Linked DNA regions of Oryctolagus cuniculus. The protein of the gene in region 2 interacts with the protein of the main gene of each other region in a pairwise test. Links are inferred from orthologs where the notes say so. Each region holds a gene or a part of one and is shown on either strand. Other genes may lie near its edges.

What was found.
Region 1: the proteins of TEX11 (region 2) and ATXN3 interact in binary tests that used the Homo sapiens proteins (3 or more experiments, as listed by UniProt). The link is inferred for Oryctolagus cuniculus from reciprocal best matches to the Homo sapiens genes TEX11 and ATXN3.

What each region holds. Positions count from the first base shown.
Region 1 is NC_091451.1:37,353,587-37,357,335, reverse strand, and holds the start of ATXN3 (ataxin-3), read left to right. Parts: upstream 1-1,555; 5' UTR 1,556-1,637; coding exon 1,638-1,661; intron 1,662-3,749. UniProt on the Homo sapiens protein: Deubiquitinating enzyme involved in protein homeostasis maintenance, transcription, cytoskeleton regulation, myogenesis and degradation of misfolded chaperone substrates.
Region 2 is NC_091453.1:50,675,971-50,679,619, reverse strand, and holds part of TEX11 (testis-expressed protein 11), read left to right. Parts: intron 1-182; coding exon 183-263; intron 264-354; coding exon 355-474; intron 475-3,649. UniProt on the Homo sapiens protein: Regulator of crossing-over during meiosis. Involved in initiation and/or maintenance of chromosome synapsis and formation of crossovers.

The DNA.
Region 1 (3,749 bases), on a different chromosome or scaffold from region 2:
TCACCAATGGTCTCCATAGCAACAGCATGGGGGGTTCTTCTCCATGTTGCTTGACTTGGTGGCAGCAACTGATACTGACTGCTCCCTGAACATGCCCTCCCCAGGACTTCCGGATGCTTCTCGGCTTCTGCTTGTCTAGCCCCAGGGCTCAACCCTGAACCCTCAGTCTCTTCCTTTTCTCTGCGTTTTATTCACCTCTTCTGTTTTCAACAAATCCCTGCTCTACACGTAAAACAGTCTCGGCGCTCCAGACCTGATTATGTAACCAATACTCAACAAAAGCACCTGAGTCTCTTAGATATTCCAAGTGCAGCATTTCCAAAATGTATCTCTCCTCTTCCAGTTCTGATCTCAGCCATGGTGGCTGCCAAGACAGGAGAAACCTGGAAGTTGGCGCGACCCCCTCTGTCTCCCTCATTCCCCAGTCTTGTCCAGGCCTCCCGATTCCCTGAGCATCTCTCACAGCGGTCTCTGCACCTTCAAGCCACTCCCCAAGTCCAAACCACCTCAGCCTTATTCAGAGTCCCTCAGTGACAGCTGCTGGCCTGCAGCCTGAGTGGCCTTTCCGAAAGCCCACCTCAGCACCATGGGGCTGGGGTTGTGGCACAGCGGGTGAGCCGCATCCCATGTAGGCACCGGTTCGAGTCCAGGCTGCTCCATTTCCCATCTGGCTCCGCGCTAATGCTCCTGGGAAAGCAGCAAAGGATGAGTCCTTGGGCTCCTGGCTTTGGTTTGGCCCAGCCCTGGCTGTTGAAGCTATTTCGGGAGTGAACCGGCAGTTGGAGGATCTCTCTAACTTTGCCTTTCACAAAAAATACAATCTCAGGAGAAGTGCACCACGACCTGTTTCTAGGTGCGGCATCTGCACCCATACTTTCCCTTAAGCTTCATCAGGCCCCCCCATCCTCCCCCTTCCCACTTCCCCCTCCGGTGCCTCTTGAGGGCTGGGGCACCTACACTAGTGATAAGCTCCCTGATCCTGGATGCTGGTAAGGCAACTAAGGATCCGACCATGGACGCTGCTGCTCTTAGCTAATCTGTGCCTCAGTTTCCTCGTGAGTATACCAGGTGTAATAACGGCTACATCAGAGGTCACTGTATTCGTTAATGCCAAGCACTTAGTGTCTAGCCCAAAGTAAACCCTATCAAAACAATTTCCACACAAGTTAGGCATTGGGGGAATACAGTATTGCCTTCATGACAACTACTTCGATAGGGGAACAGCAAGTAATAGTTAACAATTATATGCAGGTTTCATAAGCTGAAGGTGGAAAGTACAGTGGAAAACAACATGGGACGGCCGCGAGCCGCCCTTATCACACCTCTGGAAACCTAACAATCCATAGCAATGGGTGGGAAACCCAGGAGATCCTCCAGACGGCAGGCGGCGCTGTAGCACCCCACCCGCCCCACGGCTGGGTAGGAGGACGCACTACCGAGATCACGTGTCCCCGCGTCTACCGCCTGGGCGTCCACTTGCTTTTTTGCGCCACGTGACTCACATTCTCGGGGGTGATTGGTCCGCGTAATGCACGTGGGCAGGGGCGGGGCGGGGTGGGCTGAGGGGTGGGGCCGAGGGGGCGGAGCTGGAGGGGGCTTGTTCGGCGCGGGGGGCCGTTGGCTCCAGACAAATAAACATGGAGTCCATCTTCCACGAGAAAGTGAGTGTCCGCGTTCGGTGGTGGCGACCGGGGGCCGTGGTGTCGTCGCCCCCGGCGGGCTGGGTGGGGCCTGAGGCGCTCCCCTCCGGCCCGCGCCGGGCGAGGGGCGCCCCTGGAGCGCTCCGCCTTCTGAGCGTGGAGTGCGGCTTCAGCGACTCCCCCGCCGCACCTTGCGCCCCGGAGGCCCCTGCCGGAGCAGCCGGGGCCGTCGCGGGGCGCCGGCGGGGGCGAGGGCCGGGCCGGGGGCGGCGCGGGCTCCCGGGGCGGGTGGGCGTGATGGAGGATGCTGCTCCCCCGCCGGCTCGCTCACACCCGCGGACGCTCCCCTTCGCCCTCCGGCCCCCGGCCCGCTGGCCTGCCCCTCGCAGAATGAACTTGGCCTTGCCGGGGCTTCTCATTCCATCTTGGAACCTCGCAGGCCCCTGGATCTTTGGGGCCGTGTCCGGGAGCCCCTCGAGGGCGGGCACCGTGGCTCGCCTCCAGTGGGGCCTGACGCTTCGGACGTGGAGACCCCGGCACGCCCCGGCGGGGGAGTCCCCGCGGGAGTTGTGATGACAGGATGTTTGGGTGTGCTGGGGTGTTTGGGTGTGTTTCGTGTGGCATGCCCAGATTTCCGGATCGGGCGGCCAGCTCTGTTGTTAGGGGTCGGGGTGGACTGGAATCTCGTTGCGGGCTTCCTGTCTGGCGCTGCTCCGCGGTGGCCGTGCACCTGCGTGCACTGTTTGGGGCGTGCGGAGAAACTCGCCCGTCCTCAGAGGCAGCGATCGGGCGCGAGTGCAACCCTCAGGACAACTTGGGCGCATTCTGGTTTCGTAATAGTTTCGTGTTTGGGAAGGTGGCAGGTGTGGCTGTTAGTAGGAGCAAAGTTTTTGTTTTATTAAATGCTTGGGAATGTTCATTTATCCAAGCTGGTTAGGAAGTCACGTGCGCGCGCACACACACACAGATAAATCCAAGGTGACAGAGGCATGGCGTGAATCTGCAGTGTACATCTAAACACATTCTTGTTCCATGCGGTGCTTTTCTTTATAGGAAGCCGTGCGGCATGTCTTGGAGCTGGACCAGACCAATTTGTGTGTGGTGGGGGGAGACTCAGTGCTACGATTACCACTAATATTTTGGCTTCAATGACGATTTATGAATTTGGACATGATTTAGCTGCTTGGCTAAGGAGATTGGGTGACAAATACACATGTACTTTTTAAAAAAATTATTTAATTTGTTTGAAAGTCTGAGAGACATAGCGCCCATCTTCTGGGTCACTCCCCCAAATGCCCCAGACAGCCAGGACTTTGCCAAGCCAAAGCCAGGAACCAGAGACTCAACCTGAATCTCCTGCATGGGTAGCAGGGACCCAGCAACTTGAGCCATTACCTGTTTGTCCGGGGGTATGCATCAGCAGGAAGCTGGGACTTGACCCTGACACAGCAGTATGGGAGTCGGTGTCCCAGCAAGGTCTTTGAGTGGAAGTGGGGACACCTGAGCCGTGTCAGCTGCTGTCACATGCCCACTCCCTATTCTTATTCCTAGTTTTCAAAAGTTTGGGTGTAGGAACAATTTTCAACATGGAGGACTTTAAACCTCTCCACCTGACTTCTTCTTCTTCTTCTTTTAAAGATTTATTTTATTTATTTGAAAGAGTTACAGAGAGAGGTAGAGCCAGAGAGAGAGAGGTTTTCAATCCACTGGTTCACTCTCCAAATGACCGCAACGGCCAGAGCTGCACCAATCCGAAGCCAGGAGCCAGGAGCTTCTTCCAGGTCTCCCACGTGGGTGCAGGGGCCCAAGGACTTGGGCCATCTTTTACGGCTTTCCCAGGCCACAGCAGAGAGCTGGATTGGGAGTGGAGCAGCCGGGACTCGAACCTGCACCCATATGGGATGCCAGCACTGCAGGCTGGGGCTTTAACCCACTGTACCACAGCGCTTGCCCTTTCACCCTACTTCCTGAGAATTTTACAATGCGCATAATTTTTAATTATATGAGAGGCAGATAGACAGAGTTCCTGTCTTCTCTTTCACTCCCCTAATGCCTGCAATGATTGGGTCTGAACTGGGCAGAAACTGAGAGATAGGAACTCAGTCCAGG
Region 2 (3,649 bases):
TTTTCTTGAATTATGTAATACAAAGTAGAACACAAAACTCTCCTAAATGCTGACTGTTCCTTTTTGTTTTCTGTAGGTTTTGTGACTGAATATTGATAGAGGAGCATTTTCTCCAATATCCCCCAACCAGTCTGGGGAGATGTGAACTTTAAAAAATTATTTTTCTAACTTTTCTCTTCTAGATGAATATTAAAACAGGAAGAGGCTGGATAGATATTGGAAAAGCTGTGCGTTCTGATGAATTTTTTGAAGCTGCCATTGTTGTAAGTTACCTTTGATTTTTAGCTGTGGCAATTATTAGTAACATCTGTGGCTGTTCTCATCCCCACATTGTATTGCATTTTTATTTCCCAGGGTCTGGAGCACTTATATGTCAGATTAGTGGAGAGGAGTTACACTGAGGCACACGTGATCATTCAGAAGGTGGCTGTGGAGAAGGACCTCTTCAAAGTCTATTCTCACCAAGCAGAGTCAGTAGGTATCATAGGCACACAAGCCTTACTACGGGGGCAAGTTATAGATGTAAATGCAAGAATAATGAGAGGTAATCTATTAGAAGAAAATCAAATGTCACTGGCCATTTATAGGATGCTATATTTGATCTTTGGATCTTGTCTAATGTCTCAAGGAGACATGACTAATGGTGACTGGATCTGTATGGGAGTGAATGGGGGTAAATGACTAATATATATTTTCAACCACTGCATGTAACATCTGTCATTTATTTGTGGCAGCAGCCTTTTCTTGCAACACCTGTCTCCGTGACTGTCTCTTACATTCAGTCTGTCAAATATTCAGTCAAATATTTACTTGAGAAGAGTCTTTTCATTTGCTGTTGTTTTTCATTTACTATTTTTTTTATTTTAAAGATTTATTTATTTATTTGAAAGTCAGAGCTACACAGAGAGAAAAGGAGAGGCAGAGAGAGAGAGAGAGAGAGAGAGAGAGAGGTCTTCCGTCCTCTGGTTTACTCCCTAATTGGCTGCAATGGCCGGAGCTGGGCCGATCCAAAGCCAGGAGTCAGGAGCTTCACCCAGGTCTCCCACGTGGGTGTAGGGGCCCAAGGACTTGGGCCATCTTTCACTGCCTTCCCAGACCATAGCAGAGAGCTGGATTGGAAGTGGACCAGCCAGCACTTGAACTGGCACCCAAAAGGGTTGCCAGCACTGTAGGCGGTGGCTTTACCCACTATGTCACAGCGCTGGCCCCTTGATAATTTTTTTAAAAATAAAGTTTATTTATTTATTTTGAAAGTCATAGTTACAGAGAGAAAGAGGAAGAGACAGAGGGATCTTCCACCTACTGGTTCATTCCCTAGATGGTCACAACAACCAGTGCTGGGCCTGGCTGAATCCAGGAGCCAAGGAGCTTCATCCAGGTCTCCCATGTGGGTGGCAATTACCCAAACATTTGGGCCATCTTCTGATGTTTTTCCCAGGCCATTATTGAGGAGCTGGATTGGAAGTGGAGCTGCTGGGACATAAATTGACACTCGTGTGTGATGTCAGTATCACACGTGGTGGGTGGCTTTGCCTGCCGTGCCACATTGCCGGCCCCTTGATGATGCTTTAAAATATCTCCTGTTATCACACAATGTTCAAAGTTGTACTTTGCCTCTGTTTGCATTGTAGGTTTCCTCATTTTGTTATAGTTAGGTGTGCATTTTCAGTTGACAAAAAGCAGTGATGAATTTGCTTAATGTAATTATGTAATCCTGGAAATGAAAGAGGCACTAAAGTCATCTAGTATAGCCCCCTTTTTTACTTTTTATGATTTTTATTAAGATATGATTTATATACCATAGAATTCACCCATTTACAATGTTTAATTCAGTGCTTTTAGTGTATTCACAAAATCGTTGAGGCCATTTGCGGAGTGAACCAGTGGATGGAAGACCTCTCTCTGCCTCTGCCTCTGCCTCTCTGTAACTCTGTCTTTCAAATAAATAAATAAATCTTTTTAAAATAAGAGAGTACAATGTGAGATAGGGATATAGCTTCATTTACATGTGGTTATCCAGTTGTCCCAATATCATTTATTGAGAAGACTATTCTTTCCAAATTGAGTGATCTTGATACATATATCAAAAACCAATTCATCATAAATGTGGAGGTTTATTTGTGGACTCTTATTTCTATTCCATTGATCACAATGTCTATTCTTTTTTTTAAAATTATCTATTTGAAAGGTAGAGTTAGAGAGAGAGGGAGGGAGGGGAGAGCGTCCAGAGATCCAATTGTTTGCTCCTCAAATGTCCTCAACAGCTGGGGCTAGGCCAGGCTGAAGCCAGGAGCTGGGAATTCCATCAGGGTCTCCCATACAAGTGTCTTGGGGCCCAAGTACTTGTACCATCTTCAGCTACTTTCCCAGGCTCATTAAAAGGACACTGGATCAGAAGTGGAGCAGCCAGGACTCTCTCTCTCTGCCTATGCCTCTCTTTAGCTCTGTCTTTCAAATAAATAAATAAATAAATAAATATTTTAAGAAGGATTAATAACATTAATATGTGGTGTCTCTTTCATAGGAGCATAAGTTTTTGGGAGATCCAGAAATGTAAACATGCATTTCAGCAGGGTAATTGCCTTGAAGTAATGTGGATGAAGTTCTTCAGTAAAACAAAGGATTAGTAGTTTATTTTGATGTGAAAATTAAGAAGATTGTGAATTTTGGGGGAGTATAAAAGGGACATAAAATAGATATTTTAAATTGCAGAGGAGAATGAGATTTTTTAAGGTTTATTTTATTTATTTGAAAGGCAGAGAGAAAGAGAAAGAGAGAGAAGGAAAGAGAGAGAGAAAGGGAGAGAGAGATCTTCCATCCATTGGTTCACTCCTCAAGTGGCCACAGTAGCCAGGGCTGGACTAGATTGAAGTCAGGAGCCAGGAGCTTCATCCAGTTCTCCCACATGGGTGCAAGGGCCCAAGTACTTGGGCCTTCTTCTGCTGCTTTTCTCAGGCCATTAGCAGGGAGCTGGGACTCAAACTGACATCCATATGGGATGCTGGCACTGCAGGCAGTGGCTTTACGTGCTATGTCACAATGCCGGATCCATTTTTTAAGGTGAGAGATGAAGTAATTTTTAGAGGGATACAGTAGGAGGATATGGCATGCTATAAAGTACTTGAGGAATATGATAGAGTCTGTCCACCTGTGTGGGAAATATACTGCAGAAATCAACAAAGGGGAAAACTCAGTTTTATTGAGCATCTACTATATGCTTGACATAGTACTAGGAGCTGTAGTGTTCCTAATTGCTTAGCTGGAGTGAAGGTCCTATTGAAGTTAGCATAAATTCGTAGAGGGTCCATTTAGCATAGTTTACAGTGGATGACAGTGCCCTCTCTCTGTCTCTCTGTCTCTGTCTCTCTCTGTCACATAAATAAATAAATATAAATAAATAGTCTAAACAAAATTTTAAAAGTAAAATACCGTATCTGTTAACTAAATTCTTCAATTCTTAAATGGCTGACCCAAGCCTCTTCTATAAATGCTTAATAAATCTTTACATATTTATTTTTTATTTGAGAAAATCTTGCCTTTGATGGCTCATTCCCCAGATGCCCCCTGGCCCAGGCAGGGTTGGGCCAAACCAGAGCCAGGATTCTTGACCTCAGAGTGGATTTCACATGTGGGTGACAGGGTCCCAGGT